Linked DNA regions of Arabidopsis thaliana. The main gene of each other region encodes a partner of the protein of the gene in region 3 in a complex. Each region holds a gene or a part of one and is shown on either strand. Other genes may lie near its edges. The genes, in order: TEX1, THO2, THO5 and THO1.

What was found.
Region 1: THO5 (region 3) and TEX1 share a complex: the UniProt entries of both Arabidopsis thaliana proteins name them as parts of the THO complex.
Region 2: THO5 (region 3) and THO2 share a complex: the UniProt entries of both Arabidopsis thaliana proteins name them as parts of the THO complex.
Region 4: THO5 (region 3) and THO1 share a complex: the UniProt entries of both Arabidopsis thaliana proteins name them as parts of the THO complex.

Annotation. Positions count from the first base shown.
Region 1 is NC_003076.8:22,720,519-22,728,075, forward strand, and holds TEX1 (Transducin/WD40 repeat-like superfamily protein), read right to left. Parts: upstream 4,582-7,557; 5' UTR 4,548-4,581; coding exon 4,482-4,547; intron 4,386-4,481; coding exon 4,290-4,385; intron 4,116-4,289; coding exon 3,986-4,115; intron 3,674-3,985; coding exon 3,582-3,673; intron 3,472-3,581; coding exon 3,403-3,471; intron 3,218-3,402; coding exon 3,160-3,217; intron 3,044-3,159; coding exon 2,944-3,043; intron 2,852-2,943; coding exon 2,765-2,851; intron 2,681-2,764; coding exon 2,602-2,680; intron 2,507-2,601; coding exon 2,371-2,506; intron 2,272-2,370; coding exon 2,237-2,271; 3' UTR 1,964-2,236; downstream 1-1,963. Other genes in the region: MYB80 (myb domain protein 103), read left to right, coding at 1-146; AT5G56120 (RNA polymerase II elongation factor), read left to right, coding at 965-1,675; AT5G56140 (RNA-binding KH domain-containing protein), read left to right, coding at 4,944-5,134, 5,649-5,734, 6,092-6,237, 6,650-6,763, 6,840-6,956, 7,039-7,182, 7,265-7,414. UniProt on the Arabidopsis thaliana protein: Acts as a component of the THO subcomplex of the TREX complex which is thought to couple mRNA transcription, processing and nuclear export. Contributes to the integrity of the endogenous trans-acting small interfering RNA (ta-siRNA) pathway.
Region 2 is NC_003070.9:8,738,689-8,746,449, reverse strand, and holds the start of THO2 (THO2), read right to left. Parts: upstream 4,511-7,761; 5' UTR 4,387-4,510; exon of another isoform or gene 4,300-4,386; 5' UTR 4,241-4,299; coding exon 4,106-4,240; exon of another isoform or gene 4,010-4,105; coding exon 3,884-4,009; intron 3,774-3,883; coding exon 3,732-3,773; intron 3,242-3,731; coding exon 3,182-3,241; intron 2,616-3,181; coding exon 2,553-2,615; intron 2,347-2,552; coding exon 2,266-2,346; intron 2,213-2,265; exon of another isoform or gene 2,000-2,212; intron 1,913-1,999; coding exon 1,841-1,912; intron 1,774-1,840; coding exon 1,726-1,773; intron 1,620-1,725; coding exon 1,551-1,619; intron 1,464-1,550; coding exon 1,330-1,463; intron 669-1,329; coding exon 593-668; intron 280-592; coding exon 86-279; intron 1-85. UniProt on the Arabidopsis thaliana protein: Acts as a component of the THO subcomplex of the TREX complex which is thought to couple mRNA transcription, processing and nuclear export.
Region 3 is NC_003070.9:17,150,079-17,156,985, forward strand, and holds THO5 (THO complex, subunit 5), read left to right. Parts: upstream 1-2,817; 5' UTR 2,818-2,877; coding exon 2,878-3,360; intron 3,361-3,534; coding exon 3,535-3,871; intron 3,872-3,962; coding exon 3,963-4,255; intron 4,256-4,338; coding exon 4,339-4,584; 3' UTR 4,585-4,765; downstream 4,766-6,907. Other genes in the region: AT1G45231 (S-adenosyl-L-methionine-dependent methyltransferases superfamily protein), read right to left, coding at 1-22, 134-550, 625-689, 789-822, 900-939, 1,025-1,116; AT1G45229 (uncharacterized protein), read right to left, coding at 5,359-5,525. UniProt on the Arabidopsis thaliana protein: Acts as a component of the THO subcomplex of the TREX complex which is thought to couple mRNA transcription, processing and nuclear export.
Region 4 is NC_003076.8:3,064,768-3,074,422, reverse strand, and holds THO1 (nuclear matrix protein-like protein), read right to left. Parts: upstream 7,846-9,655; 5' UTR 7,609-7,845; coding exon 7,606-7,608; intron 7,507-7,605; coding exon 7,423-7,506; intron 7,347-7,422; coding exon 7,272-7,346; intron 7,176-7,271; coding exon 7,073-7,175; intron 6,913-7,072; coding exon 6,767-6,912; intron 6,688-6,766; coding exon 6,616-6,687; intron 6,490-6,615; coding exon 6,417-6,489; intron 6,327-6,416; coding exon 6,261-6,326; intron 6,165-6,260; coding exon 6,118-6,164; intron 5,929-6,117; coding exon 5,857-5,928; intron 5,730-5,856; coding exon 5,604-5,729; intron 5,527-5,603; coding exon 5,461-5,526; intron 5,382-5,460; coding exon 5,340-5,381; intron 5,208-5,339; coding exon 5,091-5,207; intron 4,999-5,090; coding exon 4,916-4,998; intron 4,707-4,915; coding exon 4,640-4,706; intron 4,513-4,639; coding exon 4,441-4,512; intron 4,342-4,440; coding exon 4,291-4,341; intron 4,202-4,290; coding exon 4,142-4,201; intron 4,065-4,141; and 3 more. Other genes in the region: CESA5 (cellulose synthase 5), read right to left, coding at 1-76, 154-329, 408-603, 987-1,067; AT5G09850 (Transcription elongation factor (TFIIS) family protein), read left to right, coding at 9,202-9,618. UniProt on the Arabidopsis thaliana protein: Acts as a component of the THO subcomplex of the TREX complex which is thought to couple mRNA transcription, processing and nuclear export. Contributes to the integrity of the endogenous trans-acting small interfering RNA (ta-siRNA) pathway.

The DNA.
Region 1 (7,557 bases), on a different chromosome or scaffold from region 3:
TTGATCAAGAGGAGATTGGATCTGAAGGAGGAAGAGGAGATGGAATGACGATGATGAGGAACCATCATCATCATCAACATGTGTTTAATGTGGATAATGTCTTGTGGGATTTACAAGCTGATGATCTCATCAATCATATGGTTTGATTTTTATTTGGTTCTAAGTTTTTTCCTTTTTCTTTAAGATTTCATTGTTTGGATTTTCATTTTCGATCACATTGGTAGTTAAACATTGGGTATGATTAATTAGGTGCTTTCTGTTTTTACAGAGATTAATAAGTTTTGCTTTGTAAAGCATTTTAATAAATGAAGAAATGTAAATAAAGAGTTTTTATTATTTTCATCTTGAGTATAATAAATAGATAACAGACATACAAAATTACAAACCTTTGATGTTGGCTTCTGCGTTGAAGTCTACAAAATCCCAAAAATGTCATTTCCAATAACTTGCGTATGTGTTTTGAAAGTAATTAAAAACAGAATCTTATTTGTTACTTTATTCTATTATTTTAGTAATAGAAAAATTCATAAATATATCACTTGTTATAAATTGTGGTGGAACAAAAGCAAACAATGGAATCATATACTTTAGAAAAGAAAAGAAAAAAAATGGAATCATAGGGCCTAGTTAAACTATAAAGCACATTGCATATCATTCGGCCCATTAAAGGCCCAAATATTGGCTATATGCGTTTTGGAGGAGAAAATATAGCCGTTAAAGTGAGAAAAGGTCTCTTACTATGTTATCGCAGCAGTAACAACATAACGTAAAAAGAAAACAATCCGACCGTTGTACATATAGCCGTTAAAGAACAACAATTTAAATACCTGAAATTTTGTGAAAGAAAAGGAATTCTTACTAAAAAAACACAACGAACTCAAATCTTCAATCTTCATCTTACTCTCTAATTGCTTTCCTATTCCGATCTCTGTTTCTTCATAAAGTCTCAATCTTTTTTTTCTCTATGGCCGGAACTAAAGATTCTCATGTAGTGGAGATTCCAGTAGATGAAGAGCATAAAGAGAGACAACAACAACAACAGTTGGTTGCGGTCTCAAATCCGGGAATGGGAATACTCAAAGTGATTCAGCAGCATCCGTTGTCTGAAATCTCAGAGAGTCCAGGACATTTGTTGCTTTTGAAGTTATGGCAAAGAGAAGAAGATTTGTTCTGTCGTCGTGTTCTTCTTAAAGAATCAAGACTAGAGTCAATCAAAAGAGAGATCTTTCAGCTTTGTTGTTTCTTCCTAGTCTTCCATGGGTTCTTCTTCACACTTGTCTACTCTTCTTCTTGTTCTGATGATGCTGACGTGGTGAAAAGTAATGCGGTTTGCAAGAAATGGTGGATACCTTCTGCAGTGTCATTAGCTACTTCATTGGTTCTGGTGTTTCTTGTTCAAGCTAAGCTGTTTGTGTTCTGGAAAGTTTACAGAGGTGTTAATAGGGAGAGGAATGATAATAGAACGCTTACACGGTGTGTTTTGGAGTTGAGGATGAAAGGGTCGAGCTTTGATTTGTCGAAAGAGCCGATGAGTGGGAAGAGGATGAAGAGTTCAAGCGTTGAGATCAAGTGGAAACCTGTTACTTGGTTCTCTCAGTATTTGATAACTATTGTTCTTCTTTGCTCTGCAGGGTTGTTCTTCCCGGTCTCAAAGTTCATCCTCTGCGGATTTTGACAAACTCTTCCTATTCACTGTTTGTTCGGTAAGCAAATCGTGTGCTCTTCTTGTTCTTTAATCCAAAATTGGACTCTCAGTAATAAATGTGTTTTCTTTCTCAGGACTCTGCATTCTTTCTTCAACCTTCATTGTGGGGATGATGCTTTTGGTCCGATCTTACCATTGGCCTCTGTTCTAGCTTTGAGAGAGTAGCTGTCAAATCTCCCAGACTGAAGATTCGCCGGAGGGAATAAGAACAACCTGTAACTTTTAGCAGTACTCACACATAGTAGAAAATTGATGTAATTCGGGATTAGAATTCTGATCTTGATCTTATTAATTTCATTCTTCGTTAATAATAAACAACATTGCTTGTATAGTAACAAATTTTTGCAATAAATAAAATGCCAGATTCAGAACTGCAAACTTTCAATGTATTTAGTGATACTGTAAGATTATTCCAACTTGATATACTGACAATACATATTTAGGTACACTAGGCACATAAACTTTTTCTAACTCAACAAGGAACAATCAAGTGGAGTTGTGTATCATGTTTCCCGATTCAGTGCTCTGTTCCTACGAGCTCTCAAAACCAAATATCCGGAAAACACCTGCAAAGAGATCCAAGTTGTTGTCATTGTTCATTTTCTGCTACCAATATTAGAGTTTTGAGTTGTTGCTAACAATGAAGTACTAATACGCGGTAGTACCTTCATCAGTATTATACTTGGGATTCTTGTCATCACCTGCATATGCAAGTAAATTGTATTTGGGATTCCACTCAACACTGTTCATGGCTGCCCGACATGGAATCTGATGCACCGTCCGCCCGGTTTGGACATTAGCCTGTTTGGTAGTTAGTGGTCAGATACGAGGAACTAATCTCATATTGAGGAAACTACATTGAAATTAGCAGTGTTTAAGTCTGGGCAATCACTTACAATATCAATGAATAAATCTTCACTGGCTGAAGCAATATACTCTCCCGAATAGTTGAAGCTTATTGTTCTGACTGGCCACCTGTGAGAAATAGTTATAAATTACTAACATGTAACAGAAATTAAACCTTTTTCTACTCTATGGAAAATTCATGTTGATACTCACTCAAGTTTGGTAAATGTTCTCAAACAAAGCATGTCTGAGATATCCCAAAGGCTTACTAAGGAATCCGCACTCCCGACAGCAAAATATCTGTTAAGGTAAAGAGGAAGAATTAGATGCAAAAGCAAAAAGATTATCATTCGTGTCTCAGAGGCCAGCCCACAAATGTAAATATATATTACCTCCCTTTAGGATCAATTGCAATACAATAACACCCGGCTGTGTGGGCTGTGAGAGTGTCAAGTGGTTTAAGAGATGGATATGAAAGAACTTCAACAGTGCCTGAGCAGGACAACATACAAAGTAACTTTCAGTAAGATCATTTTCTCAAGTTCAAAAACAAAGAAATCTTTGGTAGGGAATCGTGTGCAGGAAAGTACAGAATTTAAAATCCTCACCAAGTCCAGTAGTCAAGAAGAAAAAATCTCCAGGCATGTTCCAAGCAATCTCATTAACCTGTTACAAGAAGACAAAAGATAAGAGAACATTCCATACGGCACCAGAAAATTACTTGACGATTATTACATGAACAAGGAACTTAGGTGACATATAACCGCATGAGCTTGAAACAGGAGATACGGAAGAGCCTTATAAAAAAAAAGCCATTAATAAAGATTAACATGAGTCTGAGCTTACGTTACCTCATAATTGAATTTGCGCCTGTGTAGAGGTTTAAACTTACGGACATCCAGAATTGTAAGCTCATCATCCTACATTGGCCAGTAAGAGAAAGGACAACGACTATGAAAAGGGATCTATCAAGTAATCCATAGACAGTAAGAACAATGAAAGTGTAAAGATATGGGGCTCGAGACAATACCCTATTACCAACAGCTACATGTGTCCCGTCAGGTTTGTAGGTGATGTTTATATTCTCTCCACTAAGTTCTACCTGCTGTGTGCATTTTCCACCTGTAGAACTCGAAGAAGACATATCTCAGCAATTGATAGTAAAACATACAATAGTAGCCACATATCAAAAACCTGATCAAATTCCTCTCTTATGGAATCTGGCTAAATAACTAATTTATAATTCTAAGAAACTTAGATCCGATCCTCATCAATCAATAGTCTCCGCGATATGACTCAAAAGCAAAGGCCAAGATTGCGAGAAATATTTGTGAATGACACATAGCTAATCCATTAGAAAATATACAGATTTCTAAACCAAGCTCCAGGCATATTTCAGGAGCAAAACTAAACGATTAAAAGAATATAACTTACTGCGAGCATCCCAAAGACGAACGCTTTTATCACCAGAGGCAGTAGCAACAAGATCTGAATGTTTGGGATCCCAACATAGCTGATCCACACTATCAGTATGACCCTTTAGCTCAAGGTCCTTAGCCTTGCTCTGTATCCACACACCACACAAACAACCAAATTACAAAAACTACATAACTCAAAAAGTAACAATGACAAAGATAATAATCGAGTTTTAACTCAATCTACAATACTTCTCCATATGTATTCATCATCATCAAAAACACATAGAAGTTCCCATAGCTCAAAAAGGTAAAGAAATTACATGACCGTGTGGTTCGATATTCCAAATGCGAGCCGTTTGATCAACAGAACCCGAAGCAAGCTTTGTTCCATTCGAATTCCAAGCTACTGAATGTACCTTCAATCCAAAAATTCCCCCAGATTCAGCAAAAAACTAGGGTTTCGCAAGTTTTATTGAGTACAGAAAATTAGACTGGAGATAGAAAAAAAAAACCTTCTTCTTATGACCTTGATATTCTCTGCTATGTAAGCTCTTGAAAGGAATCGTCGTCTCCTCCATTTTTTAATTCTCAACTCTTCTTCTTCAACCTTCCTTCGCGGCCTACTGAATATCAGAGCTTCGCTTCCTGAAACGCAGCGTTTAGTCATTCCGGTATAGATAAACCGAATCGAATTTTAGTAAACCGGATGTAAAAAACCTTCTAGATGGTTAAGAGTCTTCAGAGAGAAACTAACAAGAAGAGCGGTAAAATTGGGTAAAATATGAAACAAAGAAAAAAGGTGAAAAAAAAAACAGCTAAGCAAACAACAAGTAATCATTTCACAGTCTCTATAAAATGACCTCTTAAATCCACCGACGTTATAGAGAGACAACAACAGCTTTGGTTCTGCCTCCGCCGCTTCTTCTTCTTCTTCTAATCTCCGACAGATTTACTCTGATTCTGTTGTCTTCGAGATGATGATGATGTCGTCGCTTGGTGGTGGTGGTGGTGGAGGAGGAGGAAGTGGTGGTGGTATTGGTGGTGGCGGCGGAGGGAGGTTTATGACGTATTCGTCGTCTCTTTCGGTGCCTCCTTCTGCTCCTCAGTCTCCTAATTACTCCGGTGGTCTCCGATCACAGTCTTCTGTCTTCGTTGAGCAAGAGAAGTAATCGAATCTTAGTTTTTCATCTTCTTTTATATTTTTGTTTTTTATTGTTTGGTGATCTTTTATAATTAGCTGATGTATCTGATGAAGTATGTTGATCTTTGCTTTGCTGATTTTGATTTTTAGATCTTAATAGTGTATCTCGAATCTGGATTTTTGTCTTTTTTGTTTTCTTTTGATTATATTAGGATCTATGTTTCGGAACTAGCTCAGTCTATTTCAGATTTGTCTCAATCCAGTTCATTTTTTGTAAAGCATAAGTCTTTAGTGTGTGAGGATCATTTCATTGGTTGTGTTCGTTTCTGTTATTGTTGATTTCTGTTCTTGGCTGATGAAACTGTTAAAAAAAATACGATTTTTGGAAGATTGACTAGATCCACTTCACAAAAGAATGGAAATTTGAATCTGGTTGTATCGATTTAGAGTGAATTTGAGTGTATCTGTTTGTAAGTTTGATGTGTCTTTGAGGCTTTTTTACTAATTTGGATACTCTGCACAATTTCTGTTTTGGCAGGTATCTTTCAGAGTTACTTGCAGAGCGTCATAAGCTTACTCCATTCCTGCCTGTGCTTCCACATGCATTTCGGCTACTAAACCAAGGTGAGCATTACTGTTTTTGTTGTTTATTATTTGTATTTTCATCTCACATAATACTTCATTCTTTGCTTCAGATTCATGAAGCTATAATACAGTTGATAAACTCTTAAACAGTACTGCTAAGAGAGACCTAATTGTTAGCTATTAGAAGTAGATCACGAAATGACTAATTCTATATTTCTTATACTGACTTCATTCTATTTAACCAGAGTGTATTTAACTAGAGTGAGAGCAAAAATATATTTTAAGCTAACTCAATTAACTATGCTGTCTCTCCATTCATTGGTGTCTTGGTGACTGATTTGTTGACTAATTCTAACTGGTGCGTCTTACTCTTGCAAATTGACATTTTTGGAACAGAAATTTTGCGTGTAACCACACTGTTGGAGAATGCTACAGTTTTAAGTCAGAGTGGGCTTGACCACCCTAGCCCTCTGGCTTCTGGAGGGATATTTCAGAATGCAAGAGCTGACATGAATGGATGGGCCTCCCAGTTTCCATCAGAAGTATGACTACTAACCATTAACATAACTCTCTAATTCATACTACTGCAATAGAAGTTTTATTGACTTAAGTTATAATACTGACATAACATATTTGACTGCTTTTAGTCCTAGTTTATCATGACAGGTAGGCTAACACTTCATATCCGTAATGTTTGTATGTTCATACCTTAGATCAACACTAATTAGATACTCCACTATCCTCACGAGTAGGATTGAAATTAATGCTATAATTTTCTCATATATCTGTGGTCACTGTATGCATATTATTAGGATATAACAGCTACAGGTTGAAATGCCTTGATACAGTGACCACTCTCATTGAATGAAGTTCCAGGGCAAGAAGTTGCAGTATTCATGTGCTTATGCTTAAAGGTTGATCTTGCTTCTAATTTTGTTGGTTGATCATTTGCAGAGATCTGTTCCATCATCTCCGGGACCAAATTGGCTTAACTCACCTGGTAGTTCGTCCGGTCTCATCGCCAAGCGTACAATCAGGGTCGATATTCCAGTCGACAATTATCCGAATGTATGAACTTTCATTTCTACACTGAGATATACTACTTCCTGGTTGGAATGTAACTCCTTAATTTTCTATATGGCAGTTCAATTTTGTTGGTCGCCTCCTGGGTCCTAGAGGAAACTCCCTGAAGCGAGTTGAAGCAAGTACTGATTGCCGTGTTCTTATAAGAGGAAGAGGAAGTATAAAAGATCCAATTAAGGTATTTATTATTAAACTTTACAACTTCATTTGTATCTACATTTCAATGTTTGTACAAGGTGTTAATATATTTCTTCTTGTAGGAGGAAATGATGAGAGGAAAACCGGGATACGAGCACCTAAATGAACCACTTCATATCTTAGTGGAAGCAGAATTACCGATTGAAATAGTCGATGCACGGCTCATGCAAGCTCGGGAAATACTTGACGATCTTCTTACTCCTATGGTTTGTTTTTAGCTCTCCCCCTCCCTTTGATTTTAAACCAGTTATTGTTACAAAGTTTTCACACTCGGTTTCTGTTTTATAGGAGGAAACCCATGATATGTACAAGAAACAACAGCTGCGCGAGCTAGCATTGCTCAATGGAACTCTTCGTGAAGAAGGATCTCCAATGTCCGGTTCTGTTTCTCCTTACAATAGCCTTGGTATGAAGAGAGCCAAAACAAGAGAAGGGTAAAAACCATCGAACAGTTTGGCTGTGATCATAAAGCAATATGAAACCGATCCAAAAGTCGACACAAAAAGGCCATACCACTCTTGACGACACGGTACTGTCTCTTGTCCTTGGGGTAGAAATGTTGTATATATGATTTATGAAAT
Region 2 (7,761 bases), 8.4 Mb from region 3:
CTGGTTCAAGAAACCTGTTAACCAAATGGACTGGTTTGACGACAGTGGATTTGTTAAGTAAAAAGATATGATTCGGTGTTCATACCAATCGTCCACAGAGAGGAAACCATTAAGTAGGCCCAGAGTCTGATTATTTTCAAGCTCTGGTAATCGCTCAGTAACAGCTTCACTTTCCATGTCTAAAGCAGCAAAGAGATCTACTGTGACATCTCCTTGCTTCTCATCTTCCATAAGATCCTTCCCAGTAGCAGCGAGATTAATCTTTCCAATTTTATTGGCCTGTATAAAAGGAAGGACTTGTAAAAATAATAACTCATGAATAAATCTATGAAAGTAAAAAACAAAAAACAAAAAATAATTGGCTGGCTTCCAGGAAGATGGAGAAGTGCTTAGTATCTAAGTATTTATTAAATTTATGAAGGCAAGATTAGCAGATTACCACAAGAGCAGAGAAACCATGTTTGTTCGTTTGTCTCAAGGGAAAAAAAGGTTTTAACACATAAGAAACATATAGACAACTTACGGTAGGCCAGAACAAAACTATCTTAAAACATCTCTAAGCATAAGGACGAGGTCATATATTGAACTGTACCTCTTCAAACCGCTTTGCAGAAGAAACATTATAATCCTCAAAAACTTCCTCGTCCTTAGGTAGCAGATGTGCATATCTGTTCACAACAGCCAGGCAAAAAAGTATAAGAATATTGGGTCCATACATTCAGTATGATTTCACTTGTTAGAGGCACAAAGAAATGTAGCAATCTAGTAATCACCGAATCAGTACACTGATGAAATAAGTTAATGAATTGAGTGAGTTGCTCACGAGAAAATAAATTAAGTCTACTAGCTAGTCCTCCTTAAGAGCAATCTCAAAGTAAAAAAGTAACTTTCAGAGTACAGTAAGAAACAAACTTAAAATTGATACCAAACAACTAGAAACAAGAGACAGGTGCAGAAGAGAAGAGAATCTTTCATTTACATTCCAACTGATCTAGTCCTATTCTCAATGAAAAAAAAAACTCGTTATGAAGAAGACATGTACAAGAATCCAATTAGAAAGAAGACTTCAGTCTGCAAAAAAGGATAAAAACCAGTGTGCAAGTATAACCTTATTCTCACATAATGAAAAGAAAAGAAATCGTCATGAAGAAGACTACCTACAAGTATCCAATTAGTAAGGAGACTTCAGTCTACGACAAAAGATAAAACCAGTATACTTTCTTAAGGCTACACATAATGCTCGATTTTGAATATTCCCGAGAGGCTCCAAAGACCTTGAAAGCAAGAAAGGAAAGGGCGGAAAAAACAGTTGAAGAAAAAACTACTCACATGCTTTCAAGATTGATAAACTCTTCCTTTACTAGCAAGGCTGTAAGCTTATAGAGCCCAACTGGAACAGGGCTATTCACCTCTAGTCTCTGATAGTATTGGAATTTAAATCCAAGAATTTGTGAAGCATGAGACTGCACATGAAAATTATTTTTTTTAGCAAAAAATAGTCTCTTGAGCTAAGCATTAGAAGATAAAAATACGAGGAAGACATTCCAAACCTTGGGAAAGATAGGAATTAGATTGAGAAATGTGTCGTAATCTTGTTCGAGTTCAAAGCAATCTAAAACCTATTCATCAAAAACAAAGGGTACATTATTACTAATCGGGAAGGACAGATTGATGCGTTATGCAATATCAAACAAAAATATGACAGAAGCAACAGTGAAAACTTACAATGTCGAAAACACGGTTTGGATCCAGGTCAAAATGCCCAATTAATGACTGCAAGAAAATATAAAGTTCAGAAAAAGTAAATGGGCGAAATATAATGTATTGGCCGAATCAAAACCTTGATAATTCCCATCGTTGCTGCTGATGCATTGTGCGAAGAACTTGCAGATCCTCGGCACAAAAGAGTGGCCTGCACTCCACAAAAAGGAACTGCTATAAGTTGGTGTATGTATAATCTGACTTAATCGAATCTCTACTGAGATAATATGTTCATTACTCTGCACAGTTATAGGTAATAAAACTAGCAGAAGATATGCCTTCCAACTGGAACCGTGTGAAAAGGAAAGGCCAAATCAGCATTGTTGAAAAGATCATCCCTTCCAAAAACTAAAGGGGTATTCCTTAAAGTTGTGTTTCAGAAAAAACAGAAGTAAAGAGTATCTAAGAAAAGACAATAGAAACGAAGTGGACAGAAAGAATGACAATAGATAAAAAAAAAAAAAAAAAAAAAAACTAGACTGCTAGAGATCTTCTATAACGAACCAATTTGGCATATCCCTCGCTTTCTTCACGGAGTAAGTTGAACTTTGTCTGCTGGTACAGAAGACGAGTGTTTAATCGCACCTGAGAAGCATCAACCAGAATTGTTACTTATAAACAATGAGCAGTAGTTACACAGGTAAAGTAGAAATTCTTATAAGCATTAATCTTTCGCAATAGCAATTCACTCAGAGTAACTATTACGTAAATCAGAGCACAGTGCAGCTGCATTGATGACTAAAGTGTGAAGTCATATTAATACAGCAGTTACAGAAGTGTGAAGTCCTCACCTCTTTCCCCTTCAAATCTTGGGCCTTTATTTTAACCATATCAGCTTCCCAGAGAAACTCCTCCTAAAATAAAATAAATAAAACGCCTTCAGAAAATTTTCTTCTTACTGATCAAGAAAATAGAGAGGTTAAGTGGGTGGGGTACAAACTACTCAAATTGGGAATAATAACAAACATTTTAGGACTTGCCCGCTCCTATCCTTTACATCTACAGCAAGAAGAAGAGGGCTATTCCGTGAGACCAGCTGGTCCACTGGATCTTTGAGGACAATTCTTCAGTCTTAAGGGATTAATGTGACATTCGAAACAGGCTACAGCCTTGAAGTTAACTTCTATAACTACCTTAGCAGCTACAATAACTATTATTTAGCAGTCTCTATCTATCACTCCAGACTTGTTCAAGCTACGGTTTCTATGATGGGCAGTAGGATTGCATGATGCACATGCTATATAGATGAGGGGTACCAGTGAGGGAGTTATCGAGAACTAGTGAAAGGTGGAAGGGGGGATAAGAGGGGACTCTATTAAGAAACCTCTCAAAGCTGTATTTTCTTGTTTTAAGTTCTATTAATATAAAGATTCTCTACGTATTACTCTGTTTCATTGGCTGAACGTAACATAATGTTTACCTCGCAACGCTCTTGGAAAAGCCTTTGAGGGACTGTCTGTGATTCCACAAGCCATTTCGCCTACCAAAAAAGAACAATTGGTTCATTAGCTGTGAGCATAGAAACCTTGAGGAGATGGTAAATGAGAACAGAAAGAATATTTTAAGGAAGAAACTAAAGTACGCAATCATCAAATTCAATAAAATAAGACATATGCTAACAACTCCTCTGTAAGCAGCTCATCAGAGAACATTGGATCAAGCATACAAGGAAAATTCAATACCAAACTACGCTAATAGATCATCTAAGGCACTATGGTCAAAGTTTCAGCTCCTTAGGATGAAGTAGCCTTTTACAATCAGGAACTTTCTTGCAACCTGCCCAGGATGAGCCATCGGTTGGTTGAACCTTAGGACACTACTGATAGCTATACACCACATGCCTAATCTATTCATAGGATGTTACTTTTTGTGATCACTAATATCTAAAGAGCTAGAATTATCTTTCCTCAAGACTAACAAATCCAAACAATGATCAATTTTCAAAACGTAAAATAAATTCTAGCACTCACCAATTTGATTAGACGAGAACGTTGATCTCCCGACATGGTAAGCTGCAAAACAAAGCAAAGAGAACACGAACCCAATCAATCCAACGATCAGTATCAATAACCTTGCACAATCATCTCTGAGCTAAGGATGTCAAAACTGTAATTGGACTTACGTCTTGAGCTATCTGAGTCACAACATCCGCAAAACACGAAGCTAATTCTTCTCTCGATGGCTTATCCAAAAACTCCACACCTTCCAACACTGCCTTACAGCTCTGAATTGGCAATTCGCCACGAACCTAATAATCCATCACGAGGCACCGTTGAGGAACTCGAACAACATATACGCGTGATTGGATAGTAGTAGGAAGAGAAGGTGGTGTTTGTGTGTATACCAAAATCCAAGAGAGCTCGTAGAGGAAACGAAGCATCGGCACAGAGCTGGGCAGCTTGGTTCCATAGTTGCCATTCTTACCTTCACGAACAAACTCCTCCGTCACGTACTTACACTCCAGTAGCGGAAGAGACATCTTAAACCCCTTTCGTGTGTATGTATGTATATCTTTCACTCTCCTCCCTTTTCGAAACCCTAGAAGATTAAGAAAATAGGGTTTAGACTTCGATTGGCGACCAGAAAATAAGCATTCCGATAAGATGAAAAGGGAGAGGAACGAACAATTTTGATCAGAGAAGAAAAAGAGAAATTAGGGTTTTTGAGAGATTATTTGATTTGGTGGAAGTAAATTGAAGACGATGATGATGACGGTGTGAAGATGATGCAAATATGTTTTTGATTTTGCAGAAGAGGGGACTATTCTTTTCCTTTTTCTACTACTTACCGATTTTGTTTTTCTGTCGTCTTTTGTTTCAGCAAATTATGTTGTATACAATTTCAATACAAAACCGGGTCCGGTTAAGTCGTATGATTTTGTTTTGAATGGGCGTGAAACTATGAATTGGTTGTTATTGAACAAGCCCATGGGCTCAGATGATCTTTGAGTCCACCACGATACTACTAACAAGGCAATTAGGCAAATATCGAATTAAAAATGTTAATTACATCTTTTGGTCCTAACAGATATAAACAAATAGAAAGCAACGAGTACAAGTACTAGCTAGTAACATACCAAATTAACTAAAATATGGAAACCAAAACCTAAAAAATTTCTCAGCGTTCTTCGCTCCATTCCCGTTTTCAACCAGAATCGTTAACTACTCGGGACAAAAAAACGATCAAAGAAAGTCAGAAAAGATCCATAAGCAATTGAAAAGTTGATCCAACTTACAGTCATCTTCTCCTTCTTCTCCTCCTCGTCCTCCTTTGCTCAAGAAACAACAACAAAAGAAAACGGGTCGGTTTGACCAACGTTATTCGAAAGCTATTTGTTTTAGGTCTGGCCTGTTTATAAACTCATTATGTTAAAATCTAATCCGCTAAAAGTCATTTATAGTTAAACTTAATGTGCCTGTATTGGCGCGAGGGCTGCTGTTATTTTGTTATGTTCAAATCAGTGCTTCCAAATTGCCTCGTCTAGAATTAAAGAATATGCTTAGAAGAATTTTTGTTATATATTAAACATTTTGGTTTTTGTTAGGTTTTTTGGATCACTTATAATTTGTAATGTTGAATTCATTTGTTTTTTTTTATTAGTCAACCAGACTTTCCGACATTATCTATTATTAACTACATGTTTGTGTTTCAGTTTAACTAATTTATTAAGGCCATAGGAAAATCGTCAAATACTAACCACACGAAATAACTATAGATACTGTACTTTGGTGTCATTAAATTCAAATTGGAGTTTCATATTACCCGAAAAATGAATCGTTTTATAATTTTTATGTTAGTTGTTGCGACGTATTTTGGATTGCTTGTATCAGTTTTGTCTTGTAAACGTAACACAATTGAAATTATGAATGATCTTGGTCCCGGTTTGGTTCTCTAGTATCATCGTCATTCAAAAGACGACAATTTAGACGTCGCAAATTTACAATTCAAGGAACTAAAACAAATCCGTTTCGGAGACATGTTTGGAAGAAGGACAAGATGGACTTGTCTTTTGAAACACGGCTTATACATGCGATATTATAAAGATTTTGTAGCATATAGAGCAGCCAACATTGATCGATGTGATGCTCTACGTCGTTAGATTGCTAGAAATGATGGAATTTACCTTGTGAGAAATAGAAATCCTCAACCAAAGTTCCATCATGCATGGAATAAAACTAAGTAATGTTGATGAAAATACTATTTTTGTTGTCTTTACAATTTACGTCAACATTCTTCGTAACCTAAAAAAAAAAAAAAATCTTCATAACCTAGGGTTATAATTTATAGCAAATCAAATATGTATCCATTATATGGAAAACGAATACAAACTACTTTTCCGATCCAGACAAACAGACAGTGTGTCGTCTTTTTTAATTTTTTTGTATTAAATCTGATTAGAAATCAAACAGTATAATTATGTTAAGTGCAAGAGACAAAACCGTGTCTGTTTTAGCCCAACAGTGTCACCCGAAACAAATCCATTCCTAGGAATATAGAAAGAAAATTAAAACAAACAAAGAACAATTTAGAAAAGACACCAATTAACACACAACACAAAGACAAATCATAATTAGGATGCTTCCATAAGATAGAGAATTAGGAAACAAGAAACGTCCTCTTTAAGACAACTGTTCTTCCCTAGCTCCGAACTCCTCGATCATCATGTTCTTGTTCATTTTCGCGTGGATCTTGGAACAGTTTGCAAGGCTTGAGCAAGCATGAATTAGGTCCACCAACATTCCCAGTTGAAATAACAGGATGCTTTTTTGAGATCACCACGGAGTTGATAACATCATTTGTTGGGTGATAAATAGACAAAAAAAAAAAAGTCTTTTTCTTTCCTTTTTCTACTACAGACCGATTTTGTTTTTCTGTCGACTTTTGTTTCAGCATAAAATAGAAGAAATTATGTTGTATACAATTTCAATACAAAACCATGTCCGGTTTAGTCGTATGATTTTGTTTGAGTGGGCGTTAAACTATGAAATGGTTGTTATTGAACTAGTCCATGGGCTCAGATGATCTTTGACTCCACCACGATATTACCAACAAGGCAATTAGGCAAATATCGAATTAAAAATTTTAATTACATCTTTTGGTCCTTCTAACAGTAACAGATATAATAAACAAATAGAGCAACGAGTACAAGTATTAGTTGACACAAACGACAACAGAAATAGACAGTAATCAAGTTTCGTTCCTTTGGTTTTTGATTTTTATGATCTTCGACCAAATCACGTGATCTAAAACATTGACTTTGATCATTAAATCACTGCAATGCTTTCAGTTAATTTCTGACGTAGAATCATAAAGAGACGTCGTTGTGTATCTGACGACCACACAATATTTTCTGATTATTAAAAGATACACTTGTTCTACAAGTGAATTACAACATCATATAAATTTTACACATCCAGAATCTGGATCTTTTATCTATATAGCAAATTAGCAAGCACTCTTTTGAACAATGAAGCATGCATGCTTTATCTACCAAGAAAGTAACAAAGAGTATCAATCATATACAAGATAACTAGAGAGCTGAAACTAGGTAGAGAGCATTATACCTCCCATATCAGAAGCCATTAAAATCTAATCTTTGTACTTGATAGTTACCACTGAGGTTCCAGTAACAAAACGGGTACCTACCAAAATCAACTAAAAATATGAAAACCTAAACCTAATTATTTTCCGAGATTCAAGAACACTAAAAGAGAGATTTTACAATGTTCTTTGGGATTCAGCCTCATCATTCTTCGCTCCATTCCCGTTCTCAACCGGAATAATGAGCACGATTAGAGAAAGTCATAACAGATCCATGAGCAATTGGAAATTTGATCTGACTTACAGTCATCTTTTCAGAAACTCGAATGTCTTAACGATCTCATCTTCTTCTTCTTCTTCTTCTTTATAAACTCATTATGTTAAAATCTAGTCCGCTAAAGGTCATTTATAGTTAAACTTAATGTACATGCATTTGCCTAAGGGCTGCTGTTATTTTGT
Region 3 (6,907 bases):
CAGACAAGTCATCATGATGCTTCTTTGTTGTCGTTTAATACCAAAAAGAAAAGAACCAATAACACAGTAAATAAACAAAATCAACTAAAATTTGACAAGAAAGATAGAAAAGGCAGAGATCAATCTCAATCACCTCTATGACCAATTCACTCAAGTTGTGACTTTCATCGCTATAAGCTAGATGCTCCATCCCAAGTGGCGGCTCCCATTTTGACTCTTGTGTCTTAAAATTGTAAAAATAACTTCGTCCATAGAACGAATCCCAGTAGACCTTCCATACACTAGAGTCATGAGAATCTATTGTCTCTGATGCCAACACTGAGTCTCCATCTCCATTTCCCAAAAAACAGCTCCCCACAACAACTTCATGATTTTCTTCTTCCACTTCAATTACTTGTACACAATCTTCCTCAAAACACGGACTCTCAACCTCCTCATTCAAAGCAGACACCAAATTCAAAGTGTCTTCTACTTTGAGAATAACATTAACCTCTTCGTCTAATCGATCCTTGAATCCTTTCTTTTGATAGCCTCTAGTTCTGTTCTTCCACTACACAAGTTGTTGAATTCTCAGAGAATGTAATAAACTAACTAAAACCCATGAATGTTGATAAGAAAAGGTACCTGCTTGTTTGTTCGAAAGGAAACCGGAAGACCAAGATCATTCATCTCTTTCATCAATCCATTGTCTATAACAAAATTCAAATTCAACAACTTTCAAGTTCTTTAGCAGAAAAAAGTTAAAAAATCAAAACTTTGAAGATATAACCTAAAAAGTAAAGACGTACTGGCAATTCCATAAGTATCATCAACACTCTTGTTCTGCATTCAACAAAAAGAACCAAAATTGGAATCGAAATCACAGAAACATAATACAGAGTTATAAAGAACACACTTACACCACTGTGTTGATGGAAGAGAGGAGTATCTGTATCGACCCTGAGGAATTGAAACAGAGGAGAATCAGAAGTCAACAAAAGAGCTTAATCTTATTTTTTAAAAGTCAAAAAGGATTATTTATTACCATAGATGGATTTGAGTAAGCTTGAAGAGAGAACCCAGAGCTTCAATAGCTTCACCTTCTGCTTCTTCTACTTCGCCTCTGACCTTTCCCATTCTTTCAGGAGTATGAATCAAAACCCCCCATAGACCCCTCTTCTTATATGGGAATTTGGTATTTGAACCGACGCCGTTTTTAGTAGTTTTTGTCGTTTGGTATATAAACCGAGCCAAACCGAAATTTGTCTAGTTTGATTTGGATTGGTTAATTAGATATCGGCAAGAAGAAGCATAGATTTTGATAAACGGTCCGGTTCGGAACTACCAAACCGAAATTATCGAAATTTTATTTTAAAGTTGACCGAAATGTACCTAAACATACCAAATTTAACAGAAACTGAACCGAATTTGGTTTCCATTCCAAAATCAGCACTATAAAACTAAAATCAATCAAAATTAATTGGTTTGATTATGTTCGGTTTGGAACTATCAAACTAAAATTAACGAAAATTTATTTTAAAAACCATCAAAAATGTACCAAATTAAACCGAAATTGTTAAATTAATAACCGACTCGATTACAAATCGGCACTATTTATACCATAAACTGAACCAAATTTCGGTCTGATGAGGTGAAGTTGATTTCAAACCGAACATTGAAATATCAAAATTTCGAACCAAACCGGACCGGCTTAGTTCTAAGAAAACGGTAAAAATATCAAAAAAAAGCCTGAACTTTCAAATTTGGGATGAAAAAAGCATGAACTTTGTAAATGTCGTATTAATCATGAAGTTTTAGTTAATTTCTCAAAAAAAATAGCTAAGTTTCGTTGACCGAGCCGTTAAAGGCTTGCCGTTAAATTTTCGTTAACAGAGTTATCACTCCGTTAGAAATTTAAAACGACGTCGTTTTAAATTTTAAAATTAAACAGAAAAAATGAACCTTGCCAAGATTGGAACCGTTACCATGAGAAACTCATTACGAGATTATAAACCATTGACCCACAATTACATTTTGTCAAAGTGACAAACACTAATGTATATATATACTCAACTATTCGTCTTCTCATTCATCTCCTCTATCCCTAGAATCGGAGTTCTCTCCGTAAACAGGATTCCATCGGCGTTTTGGTTTCGTTCCATTAGACAGATATCGGAGTGAGCGATTTTTGTTTTATTGATCTTTGTTGTGGTTTGAGCATTAACCAGCTCTTAGGTATCAAAACTGTAATTTTGTTCATCTTCTCAAACCTTTTTAATAATTTGGTTTCAAAATTGAGGGAATTGAGAAAAAATACATATAGATCCATTAGATCACAATCTAAAGCTCATGTTCGACGAAGATAACACAGATCTGAATCGCAAATCTCACAATCAACATAAAAATTGAAATGCGATTGGGTTTTGTGAACTTGAGAAAAATACAAAGCTATGGCACGCAACAATAGAGTTTTGTTAGTTTCTGTTAATTATGTAATATTAAATATAAACTTTTGTTATTTGATACGAAGATGTTATTTTGTCTAAATGGTTTGGATGTTTGTAAAAGTATTCTCATGTCTCATGTTTGAGCTCAGGTGGTAGTCATTTTTTCTGTTTAATTTTAAATTTTAAAACGACGTCGTTTTGGGTTTCTAACGAAATGATAACTCTGTTATTATTCTGTTAACGGAAATTTAACGGCATGTCTTTAACGGGCCAGTCAACGAAAGTTAGCTTTTTTTCTGAGAAGTCAATCAAAACTTCATAATTAATATGACATTTTCAAAGTTCATGCCTTTTCTATCCAAATTTGAAAGCTCAGGCTTTTTTTTTTGTTGACATTTTTCCCCTTTTAAAACCCTCTCTCCGAGCTCGGCGAGATCAGAGGAAGTAAATTATGCAATCGGAGATGGCGATAGACACGGTGGCCACGGCGGAGAAATCACCACTAGAGCTACTTCAACAAACCAAAGCCTCCGTCGAAGCAATCATAGCAAAGATGCTCTCCATCAAGCAACAAGGAACCCCTAAATCCGAGAATCGAGAACTCCTCACTCAGATGTTTCTCAACTTCATCAATCTTCGTCAAGCGAATCGCTCGATTCTTATAGAAGAAGAGAAAGTGAGAACAGAAACGGAAATAGCAAAATCTCCGGTGGATTTCACGACGTTGGAGCTTCACAATCTCATGTATGAGAAGAGTCATTACCTCAAAGCTAATAAAGCTAGTAGAGATTTCAAATCTAGGTATCCAAACATCGATCTCATATCCGAACAAGACTTCTTCAGTGATGCTCCCGAAGCAATCAAATCTCAAACGTTATCAAATGATAGTTCTCATGATTTGATGCTTAAAAGACTCAATTTTGAGCTTCATCAGGTAAATTTCATTTCAAAGTTCATGTCTTTAAGGTCTTGTAGTAGCTTGATTCAATGTGATTCAATGTTAAGCTTTATACATCTCTGTCTCGAATCGTTAGACCAAGTTCATGTGTTAGATATTGTTGGAGTTTTTATTCAAAAGTGATTGAATGTTTAAGTTTGTTATACACAGAGGAAAGAGCTATGCAAGCTTAGAGTGAGGTTGGAGCAACAGAAGAAGAGTTTACTTGAAAGTAATGCGGAGAGGAACAAGTTTCTGTCAAGTCTTCCAGTGCATCTCAAATCTCTAAAGAAAGCATCTTTGCCAGTACAGAGCCAGTTGAGTTTGCAGAATCAGAAGAAGCTGAAGTATCATAATCTAGCTGAGCTTCTTCCTCCGCCGCTTTATGTTATATATTCGCAGTTCATGGCACTGAAGGAAGCTTTCGAAGAGAATATCGATGTTGAGGTATCTGGGAGTCTTAAGGATGCTCAAACTTATGCGCGGCAGCAAGCAGAACAGAACTCAGGTTAGCAATTCTCACACCTTTAGTTAAAATAAGAATTGAAAATGGAATAGTTATGTGCTCGTTAAAATGACATGTATGTTCAATAATACAGAGAGTCTAAGATTAGAGGTTGGTGTTGATGAAGAAAGGCAAAGGAAACGACTCAAGAAAGTGGGTTCTGATGAGGGAGGAGTATATCAAGTTCATCCTCTTAAAGTTGTCCTTCATGTTTATGATGACGAGATTACAGATCCGAAATCTCATGAACTTGTCATGCTCAAGTTTGAGTACTTGTTGAAGTTGAATGTTGTATGTGTTGGCATTGAAGAGTCTGAGGATGGACTTGAGAAAAATATACTATGTAACTTATTTCCAGACGATTCTGGACTTGAGCCTCCTCATCAGGTACATGTGGTTTTCCTTTTTGATATTCATTCACATATGTTTGCTTGAAAACAGTCATACTCACTTCCTTTACGGTTATACAGTCAGCCAAGCTCATTCTTGGCAACGATCATGTGTTTGATAAAAGCAGAACTTCGAGGCCATATAAGTGGGCACAACATTTGGCGGGGATTGAGACTTTACCTGAAATGTCACCATTTTTTACTGACAAGGATATTCAATATAGTGATACAGCTAAAGGCTATGCTTCTGCTTCTGATCACCGCAATGTGCAAACCGTTCTGCAAAGAATACGGTCCCAGAAAAAGACTAAGCTAACGCTTGTGTGAGTCACACCACTCAGTATGTTTTTTCCCATCTTTTGACAGTAGTAGAAGTTTTTCATATTTGTAAGTCAGTTAGTTCTTGGTATCTGAAACAAACATAATGATGAGGGAGGACTATATCAAATTCATCATCTCAAAGAGTTGTCCTTCATGTTTATGATGAAACAAACATAATGAGAAGAGTGACTTTGACATCTGCGTCTAGGTTAAGCTTTAGCAATATCTAAGCAAAGAGATTCTGATGATCCTGTATATATGTATAGAGAGAGAGGTTACAATTTGATAAAAGATGAGAACACAGTTCAACTAAACATTATAATTAGAATGATTTATCTATAGAAACCAAGTATGAGCATGATCTATATTTGACAGTATCTTCCACAGCTTTTATGTTGGCTTCCTTGAAGATTCATTATCTCCATCTCCTGTTGTATAAACCCACCAAAAAACGATGGAGTTAATAAGCTGTAAGCGTTGAAGTTGCGTACAATAAGATTGGTGAGAGCAGTTTTGGTGTCAAACAAAGTGCACTTTAGAGGGTAAGAGCGGATTTCTTGGTGTCAAACAAAGCTTAAATCATAGATCTATGAACTCATTACGAGCAGATCTTTACCCAAAGACATTCTAAATGGGGAGGATTCAATTCTCAGGTTGCAGGTAATTTCCACCAGTAGAAACTACGACAGGTTTAAGTCGCATAAGCCGTTTAAATAAAGTTTTGTATGGTAGAAAAATAGTGTAAGATGGAATAAGAGCTACCTGATTCTTCTGTAATTCCTACATATTGCCTGCAAAACACGAGAAGAGATACACTCTAAAACTAACAGAGATGAATGTAACATATGAGCAGATGTCTTTGTGGTCGGTCATTACCGGCTTCCTTAGTAACTTTTCCTCTCTTCTTTCTATCTTTGCAACTTCAGCTTCAAGCTCCACCATATAGCCTACAAAGCAAAACAAGAGTACTAAAAACATTACATGAACTTCTTTAACCACTGAGCCACCTCAGGTACATTCCAATGGTCGGCCATGAACATATCACATATAAATTAAATTCAGTTCACTAGGAAACTTACTACACTTTGAGCGACTAAACCAGGTCGACAAAAAAATTTCGGAGCTGGTTGAAACCCAAATAAAATGCATTAACCTAACAAGATATAAATGACAGTGCGAGAGAACCCCGAGTTTGATTCACGGAATGCCAACTTGGCCAGTTTACAAACGAAAATTGTTGGATACAAATAACATAGGCCCTGCTCAATGAAAGCAGATGGTATTTTGATAAATAACAGATGTGGCTCTGATCAGATTCCGGCAACTATAATACAATAACTAATCCTTATCTCCTGAACGCAAGCTAAAGAATTGGATCAAATACTTTTCACCGCTCTAGTCTCTCCTGAGATATCCATTTATCATCCTGGACAAGTACGTTTAAGGTACTGATGCTTTCAGAGGAAATAAAAACACAACTACCTTTGACAAGGAAATGGGAGGAACATATTCAAGGGTGCATTAAACGCATCTTCCACTTCCTCAGGAAAAGGTGTTTTTTGTCAGTAAGAATTCCTGTGACAGAAATTACACTAGAGAGATGCTGCATTAGAGAACCAAGGGCAGATAAGAAAGTAACACTCTCCAGAAAAGGATAGTTATGCTTATGCATCTCTCTGTCACTTGATAAAAGGAATAGATAGCTTGACATACAACAGAAAACCTTTGGCATAGAGCTTACAACAAGAGAAATGCAAGATGCATGATTTTACGGCATGAAGTTAACTCCTATCGAATTTCATTTATAGATATTGCATTAGATTCAGCAGGAAATCTGACTTACAAAAGCAACGAAGAATCACACTAAACTCATACAGTAGATTCAAACAGATCTCAATATTATGCTTGTAGTACTGCAGGTATAATGCTTCAATTGTATACAAAACAACAGGGCATTTGGTCTAGTGGTATGATTCTCGCTTTGGGTGCGAGAGGTCCCGAGTTCGATTCTCGGAATGCCCCACTGCATTTTTGAGTACATTGGTCTAAATTTCATCAGGATTGAATAATAGTAACATACAATCCACCTTTGCACTAAATGCTTAAATTCAGTCAACTAACAGAATTAGATCTACAGCGTTTCATTTCTACTTAACAAAATAACATTTAATAACAGATTTACGCAAATGTATGGTTCCAGCTTCATCAAGTATAAACCCCTAAACAAAAAGATTCACGACAGCATCATCTAGTGGTATAATTCCTGCTTTGGCTTCGAGAGGTTCCAATATCTATAATTGGAATGCCACATCTACTCTTCCAAACTATA
Region 4 (9,655 bases), on a different chromosome or scaffold from region 3:
GTTGATGAACCCTATGGATATGGCCAGGTGATGGAGAAACAATGAGAGCATGACTATCAGAAGAAATTTCAACGTCCTAGAAAAACAACCAAAATGAGCAATAAAAAAGGGACAATAAAACAGTAGAAGTGATTGGGGAAAATATGAACCAACCTCCTCTCCATAAGTTAACAAAGGAATCTGTGAGCCAGGTGGAGCAGAGGCCAAATCAAACTCCGAGTTGCGGCGAGAGAAAGTTTCAGATTCAAGGCCACTCCTACTATAATCAAACTCAAAATCAAGATCATCAATTCCATCATCCTCCTCATCTCCTTCAACCCTTGGACTTCCTGAAAACAATAAGAAACCTTTGTCAGATACATAAGATCAGACAAAGGTTAAAACTTGTTGAAACAAGTAAGTGTGACCTTTGATGCGCTTGTAACGAGTTTTGCACTGAGGACAAGATTGGTTTCCTTCTCGTCTCTCATACTCATAGCAAGGTCTACAGACAGGGAAAGCACATTCATTACATGCCACAAAAGACTCTCCATCAACACTTAGCTCAATCTCATCTCCACAGATTTGACATGTTTGTCCACTTAGTTCTTCCACTGATCTAATCTGTATATTGAAATCAGCATAAGCAGAGAATTATGAGAAACACACATAGATTGGATCTCAATTAGAACACAAGATTCACTAGCAATTAACTCAAAATTTGTTTCTTTTAAAGCAAAGTATTAGATTTGGGGATTTTTTACACACTAAAACTCAGAATTCAATCCCCACCGACACAAACTTTCACTGTACATGATGATAAAAGTAGGTAAGAATTATGGAATCGTGTACCCTAATTGATAAATTAACGATGAAATGTAAAACCCAGATCCAGAATAAGAAAAAGGCAAAACCTTTACACAGAGCAACGAAAATTTAACAATGTGTGCAAATCAAAACAGAGAGAAAGAAGTGAAAAAAGCTTCAATTTTGATATAAATTCTTACTCTGGCACTCTCGTCTGCATTAATCAACACGAACTCATTCCTATTGTGAGAACCAGCGATGAGCCGACCACCAGTATTCATAGTACCGACAAAACAGTAGACAGTATGTCAAATTCAGACACACACACGCAATCTCTAGCTTCCGAGGTCTGCAACCGGGTCAAGTCAACCCAACAGGTTGGTCGAGAGAGATCCAGTCGTTACAACTCCCATCAAAACATGCAATTACAAGCTTTGCAGAGAAGATTTCTCAGTTTCTTCTGAAGAAGTAATGAGGAAGATGGGTGAAAGGTTAGGTATTGGAGTGAATCCAACTGTTTTTCTCTGAAACTCCAAATGTACGCACACACACAAGTTCACAATCAATATAAAAGAAGAGATAGTGAAAGGTGAGCTGCAGCTAATTAAAGAGAGAGGGGCTAATGTAGAAGAAGAGGAGAAAGAAGAAGACGCGTAATGAAGAAGACGAAGAGAGAGAGACACAGACGGAAGATATTGAAGTACCTCCTCAAGTAATCAACTACCAAACCAAAGTAGAGAAAGAAAACCACACAAACTACCAACAAAAAAATAAAAAGAGATTTAGAAAATAAATAAAAGATAATAAATGAATTTAAAATGTGGGACCCAGTAAAAGTGTGTCGCTTGGCGCTCTCTGTCCTCCACTCCTATTTTGTCTTAACAGTTGGTAATTTCGTTAAATTCTTTATACAAAAAAAAAAAATACTGAGTACTTATAAAGTAGACACAAAAATTAAAATGTATAAATTGACTTTAAATTGACGTAAGAAAAATTAAATGAATAATTTTGACTCACTGAGTCTTTTTATCGGAAAAGGACGAAAATTTTATATAGATTTGGTAAACATTGGATCACCCTTTACATTTATTATTTCCCTCTATTTTGTTCTTCTGTCTCCTGAGTGATGACTATACTAATCACAATAAAAATAGATTCACAAAAATAAAAGCTATATATATAATGCTTAGAGGATGTTGAGCACATTGGTTTTGACTTTTAACTGTGTTTTATCAATGTACTTTATATTAACCTGAAATATAAAATTAGAAATGTTCAAGGAATAACTTTCTTTATTTCTTTCATTTGCCTTGATACAGACTTAAATTCTCTAATTCTATTCACTAGCTCTTGCGTAGATACAATTAAATTAGGCTCCACCCACACCATTATTTTTCCCATTTGTCTTTTCTCCTGTTTTGCATATACAAATTTAATGTACTGTTGACCACAAAATATTATGTACAAGTGGAAAACAATGTGCAAATTATTGAGACTATCATATCACATCATATTTATTTATATGCCATACATCCATATGTATACATTTGCCGACAATCTATATACCTATATATGTACACTATAAGTTAAGTCAAGAAAAACTAACGTATTTTTTAGACAATATTTGCGTAACACTAAAATCACAATATATGATGTTTTCAATGTTTTTAACCTGCTCTTAAATTTCAATAAAGTACTAATAAAGTTGTGAGTTCGTCTTCTTTATATATAAAAAAACATATGTAATTTTTAGTGTTAAGCTAATATATGCCTAAAGACGTAGTAGGTTTATAAAAATAAATATCTATGATTAGAATGCATTCTAGGTACTGTTTGTTTCCAAATCCTTTGGGCCACATGATCTGATAGAAAATTAGAAAAGTGTCGGTGCCACATGTATCTTTAGTTTCTTCCGGGAAAATGATGAAAAAGTAGCATGTTGTTGTTTTGGCAAAAACCTTTTGTATTACAATAATTAAATGACTTTGTTAATAAATCATGTTTAAACAAAAAATTAGTATATTCGGATTATGTTTAGATCGATCTACGGTTTTGTATTCAAACGATAAGTAACAAAAATAGGCAACTTTTCATTTGTCGTTGACAACACAAATCACTCGGTTGTCTCTTGGTCGATTCTTTATCGCATCGCTGTGCCAACATTGTTTAGTCTTTTTTTTGTTTCAATATGAGTCGACACTTTTTTTGTCATAACAGTGCGACGACTATAAGACAACTGTGATCTTATGTGACAGTGCATCAACAATTCAATAGTGAATTTGGGTAAATTTATAAGGTGATTTGATATGCATTGACAAGTGATAACGACTAAACAAAGTATATACATTTTCAATGATTGGAGGTAGTAATAATATAACCAAATAAGCCTACAATGAACTGGTATAGTTTCACGTATTATTGGATTTGGCATATGATGAAACCTTATTATTATATGGAGATCGGTGGTGTTTATGGACTTTAAAAATCGTGACACGACTTAAAAACCACTCATTTATATTCTAAATAAATATTGATGGCAAAACATAAAGTTTATGTTGATAGCTATAATAGTAACACTTTTAGCTTTTGGTTCCTCAAGTATTTGATTTTTTTGTTTGTTTGAGTGTATTTTTAGTGGATTGCAATTGAATCCAATGTTTATTAGCTGCGAATATGTGTCTAGTGTTACACTTAGACGATAAATTACGCAAAAGAACTTAATTGTATGATGATTTTGTTGAGTATATAGAAATGGAAAGACAGGTAATAAGCTAGCAGATTTGCACTCATACAAACATATTTAGAAAATACCTTTTAACATAATTTGTTAAACATCAATACTTTTGAACTTCATATCCAAAGGATTCCCCATTGAAGAAAGGGTCGACAAACTGAAAGCGTATTCATGAGACGGGCATAGGAGGATGATCAAGATCAGTGTCCATCAGACCAGCTTCTTCTGTCTCTCCGTCTTCGATTTGACCGGCCTCTTGACCGTTTTCTGTATCAGAACCACCGAGTCTTTGCTGTTCCTCAGGCGTAGGAGTGTCTGCAATAGCATCACTCTCCATCGTCTCTGCATCACCCCTTCCTCCTTCAGCTTCAGCTTCACTATTAGAAACACCAATCTGGTTTCCCTCTGTTTCATGAGATCCACCTTTGGTTTCTTCTTTCTTCGCTCGTTTGGCTTTTTCGTTTGGTTTAGCTTGGTATTTGGACCGGACCTCAGGCGGCAATAGTTCAACTGGGACAACTCCTTCGATTCCCATTTCAGTAAACTGTGAAAAAGAAAGAAAAAGGTTTTAAAAAGCAATCATATGAAGCATTGGGAAATCGAAATCGAAGAAAATTTTACCCTAGAAAATCCTTCAAGGTCTTGCCGAGCTGTAAACCGAAGACCTTTCCAGCAGTAAACCTATCAAAACAGTAACAATTATCTGCCTTAGACTGATTCAATTAAGCATCATAAAAAAAAAAGTTGTAAATCAGAGGAAAGTTATATACTCTGTTGTTTTTATGATGGTACTCATCTTCTATGCCAGCTGATGGATCCATCTGAGATTTTAACAAAACATCAGGTGTGCTAATAAGACATCAACCATTTTTTTTAAGATGTCCTTTGGGAAAAATAAAGAAAACAGTATGTTAGCTCACATCTTCTGCTAATGGTTTCCAGTAGTCTGCAATATCAGGGGTTCGCACGCGTTGAGAATCAGTCAAAGCATTCTGTTATCCCATCAGATATACAATTATTGTAGAGTCGTAATATGAAGATTGAGCCGAGAGGAGAGCTGGAGAAGCATGTGGCATAATATGAACAACGAACAAGGATGCAAAGAAAAATAATGCATACCGGATTTTGATCTGCCCATCTCCAAAGTTGGGAGAGTTCTTTATTTCCCAATCTCCATCTTTGTCTCCTGTAAAAGCAAAAGATAACCCATATTGAGCCTAATACTCGTAATGCAGATTTATTAGTTGTTTCTCACTTTAATGGACTAGCGACCAGAGATCACTAGGGAAAAAACATCTTCTCAATTTCTTCCACGTAATGTATTCTAAATTCGAATGGCGGACACCATCTATGAGTACAAAGCAGTTAGATTACAAGGTCAGCTTTTCCCCATACCGTTTCTTTTGCCCTGCATTAGGTGATTTCTTATCTATCGGTTGCTTTTCAAATGGTGGACATCCATCACGTTTCCACCAGACCTGTTATTTGTGTATTGTAGAAGATCATTAACGGCCCTCAACTACAAGCCAGAAAATCATGCAGCAGGTAAGAGAGAAAGCAGCACACATACCCAATTCTTTTCGCGCTCCAGTATATGCTCAACTGCACGGAGGAATTCTTTCCCTTTAGGCGGAGTGATCTCAAGCAATTTCTTTACACGATCCTCACATGACTTAAGTTCTTCCTTCTAGACCGAAAAGATAAACAATACCTTTGAGTAATTATGCATAAAACCCTGAATACTGAGATATAACTAGGTTTGTGAACCTTTGAAAGAAAGCAAGAGGAATTTTCTCATTAAACAAGAAAAAACACTGACCATGGTTTCAGATGGCAGATCTTTGTCGTTCTTCCCTGGTGCCTAAACGGAAACAGGATTCAGTTATACCAGAATACCAGAGAGAGTAATTTCCGTGCAATAATTCTTGAGAGACATTTACCCTTAGATAATCAAACATAATGAGGCACTGGAGAAGAATATGTCGTCGGAAACTCGAATCCTTTAACTGTGGCGAAAGGTAGAAAAAAAAGTGAGTGAACTGCTAAGTTCAGAAGTGCGCATGTCCAACCACAGCATACTTACCTCTAAACCCATCAATTTACTACTTGTTAGGTACTTTATATTAAAAGTTGCTGCCTCTTCCTCCAAACTATTAGCCTCTCCCTCTTCTTCGCTTAGTGGTTGAGCATCAAAGGTGTTTAAAACAACCTACATAAGCAGTTCAAGAAACAAGGTCTAAGATGATTTCTCACTACCGCCAGCATGAATTTTCTATGCATATACATATATACAAGACCAGGTAATGCAATTTAGTCAAAAACCAAAGATCACATACCGCCAAACTGGATGAAAATTTCTGCCACTTGGTAGATGCGGAAGTAAGAGAAGCGGGATTACAGAAATACTCCTGGAAACGAAACAATTTTCTCAGTAAGAAAAGAACTATCTCAATAAACTAACTAACAAAAGGAAATTTGAGATGCTATCTCCAGTAATGTTGATTTTGCATGATATGCAAACAGAGGTTCTATGAGACAACCCTTATGATAAAGGCATAACATTCGTTCCCTACAAAGTTCCTTTAACTAATACGCACCTGTAAACTCCAAAATGTCTTGTAGAAGTTGAAATCTACAGAAATGCCTGAGAAGCAATGACATAGACAGAATAAGTAACACGTTTTAGAATTGTCATATGGAGATAAGGACCAAAAGCATAAGAAAAAAAAAAATCACTTGCCTTTTGGAGGATCTTTTTCATATTTGGTTTCATTAGATGTATTAAAAACACCTTTTATATTGACGGCTGAAAGAATAAGTCACGCAAGTAAACGTTACACACCTTTTAAACATTCACATACCAAATAATCGTATATGCACGAGAAACCCTTCTTACCTGAGCGCTCAGATAACGGAAAAAAGTGAGCCAAAAACATAAGAATCCTTCCACAGAATACAACATCATTGGCCTGTATGCCAAATAGTGAAAGCAAAAAAAAGAATTAAAAAAGAGTGGATGTGTTATATATGAAAAAGTAGATTATGACTTATGGATATTTGACAAAGGGAACTAGAAAAGGGTGCAGATAGCGAACCTTTGAGAGTCGGCGGAGAAGTTGGTTGCAAGTCCTCAACATGACAAGTTTTCCGCGTGCAAAAAGCTCTTGCTGCAAATAATTGCAACATCCAAGTCAAAATACAAGATACAACTAACCGAGAAAAAATTTGATTTCGTTTAAGAAATACCTTGCCCAATATATCTTGTTTGCTTTCAATATAACCGAAAACATCTTTACAGTTTTTCATAGTAGACATTTCGGTCAAATCCTCCAGCAGCTGGAATATCATGCCACCTTCTACATGCTCTTTCTCACAAAGATAAAGCACAACATCTAACAAAGCAATCAAAACATGAAGATGGTGAGAGGTTAGACAAAAGTAGTGAGGACAAGATGATAAGCAATAGACAACAAGAGAATAAGAAGTTTTACGGGGACAACGCTAGCACTTGTTTGAACGAACTATGCAAATCAGACTAGAGAGATTGCTAACCTAGAAGATGAGGAATCTGTCCATGTATATCATCATCATCATCATCATCGTCAATCAACTGACCATACTGCATAATTTGCTCCCCTGATTGCGCAGCAGCAGCCTGAAACCCCGAAAACAGAAAGAGAAATCCACACATATATAAATGAACAAGTATATACGCATACCACGAAAATATAATAGTGGAGAAAGAAGAGACCACTAGCTCCTGCAGCAATGTCCGGAGCATGTTTTCAAGCATTTGGTTTTCATCTTGAGCCAACTTTGTTTGTTTCTGTCAAATTTTACAATAAAGACAATAAGTAAGACTAAAGGAGTGAAGAAATTGTTAGTTGATTCGAAAGAGTTACCTGAGGTTGTATAAAGTGTTGAACAGTCTTGAGTGCAAAGGTTTCAATTGGAGCTCGCTGCAATATAGCATCTCTAAATGCATCCTGCGAAGAACCACAAATTGCAGAAAACAAGTTTTTATAAGCTATATAGATTTAACAAGAAGCAAAAGAAAACAAGTCTCATAATCCCAAAAGAGTTACCATTATTTCTCAATGAACCAGCTTCCACTGCAATGAAGAGGAATTTACCGACGACACCAAAACCGGATATGCCGGTCAAAATTCACGGACTATGAGTCGCCGGATTTTAAAAGTTGATTAAGAAGAATTGAATAAAAATCTGGAAACGGAGGCCAAACTTGAAGAAGAGTGGAGGAAGAACAATTTTAATTTAGGGTGGATCCGGATCCGGAAGATATCCTCCCAACAATCAAATTATCCGCAAATATCCGGGCTTGGATCTGGATCCGAAATATTTTTAATTTATAAACTGAATAACAACATGTTCATTGGGCCTTTCATAGTAAAATGATATCCGTTGGGTGGTGGGCTTCACATTATTTAGTTTTACAGAAGACCTTTGCCTGTATATGTTGGATATGGCGTAGTTTTAATGTGTGGAATCAAATCAATTAGAAATTTAAAACATCTGTATTCAAAAATTGCTCGAAATTGTTCATGGTATGTTATTGCAGAAGAAATCATAATAGCTCACATGAGAAGGATTTGAAGATTTCAAAAATTGCTCGAAATTGTTCGAGATAAATATTAGGTTCCAATAATTGCATAAAAGACATTGTATTCATAATCTACACTCAACAAGTGATAAATAAACATTACTTCCTAACAAAGTAAACTTTGATGGATCGAACACCTCCTTCAACACCTAAAAACTCGGATGTGATCTTCTCTTTGGGGGTTTTGATTGTACCGTCGACGTAAATTCACTAAACGATTAGTGAGTGGCAGTGGCTCATGAGATGAAAGTCATGAAACAAACACTTTGAGACCAAATGAAAATATTGATTTGACATATTGGGTCCACTTGCTATAGGGCCAAAAATTTAGAGGCCCAATAACCAAAAAAGTCGAAACATGTAAAATGTTTCTCGTCACTTGAAGAAAAACTAAAAAAAGTAAACGCCATTATTGAAAGAAAAACACTCACATCTCTCTCTCTCTCTCTCTAGAGCTGTTCATCTCCCCAACCACAACAAACCAACTTGCTTAGCTTTGCTCTGTCCAGGGCAAAGAGCATCATCCCTCAATAAAGCAATTCCCATTTTCTTCTTTTACTTTTGTCCTAAAACTGTTAATTGATTCTGTCTGAATATTATTTTTATTAACGGACCAAACAAAAAAAAACTTGCAGAAGAATGAAAGAAAAAGCAATAACCCTCCAAACCAAATTCTAAAGCCTCAAATTTGGAATATTCCCTTTCTTCTTCATTCCCTTTTTTTTTTTTAATTTGCCATTTACTCATTATTGATCTTATGTGAGACGACCTCCTCTGTTTCTTTCTTCCTCGTAACAGTAAAGGGTCTTCCTTTTTAATCTGAATTTACCAATCTGATTCTTCTGTTTTTTGTTTTTTTTATTTGTCTATCTTTTAAACTATTTGAAATCTAAACTTTGTTTGGTTCTTCACGATTTTTAATCTCCGATGAATCAAATTCATCAAAAGATTCATCTTTTAGATCTGGTTACGTAATTCGATTTGCTCTGTTTTTTGTTTTTCGTTTTGAATTCTTTATTAAGTAACCAAATTTGGGGAAGAAGGAGGAGTGTGGGTGATAATGGATTTGGATGATTTCCGATCGGTTATGGATAACGCAGGTGTTGATGTTTGGACATTTATCGATACGGCGATTCTTGTTGCGTCTCTTGACTATGGTCAAGAACTGAAACGTCGGAGAGATAACATCGTCGAGCGTCTCTACGCTACGTCGATGGCTAACAAGTGTAGAAACTGCGATTTTGGCGGCGGTGGTAACGTTACGGAGGCGGCGATTGGTAGGGTTAATAATGGGAGGGTTCACGAGGAGACGGAGGAGGAAGATGAAGAAGGAGTAACAGCAGCAGCAGAAGAAGAAGTTAGAGAGAAATCTGTTAATGTTGAAGACGATGACGATTTCGATCCCTTTGCTGGTTTGTTTGATGATGAGCAGAAGAGTATTGTTGAAATCAAGGAGAAACTTGAAGATCCTGATCTGGTTTGCTTAAAAGTTTTTTTCACTTGGATCTTGATTT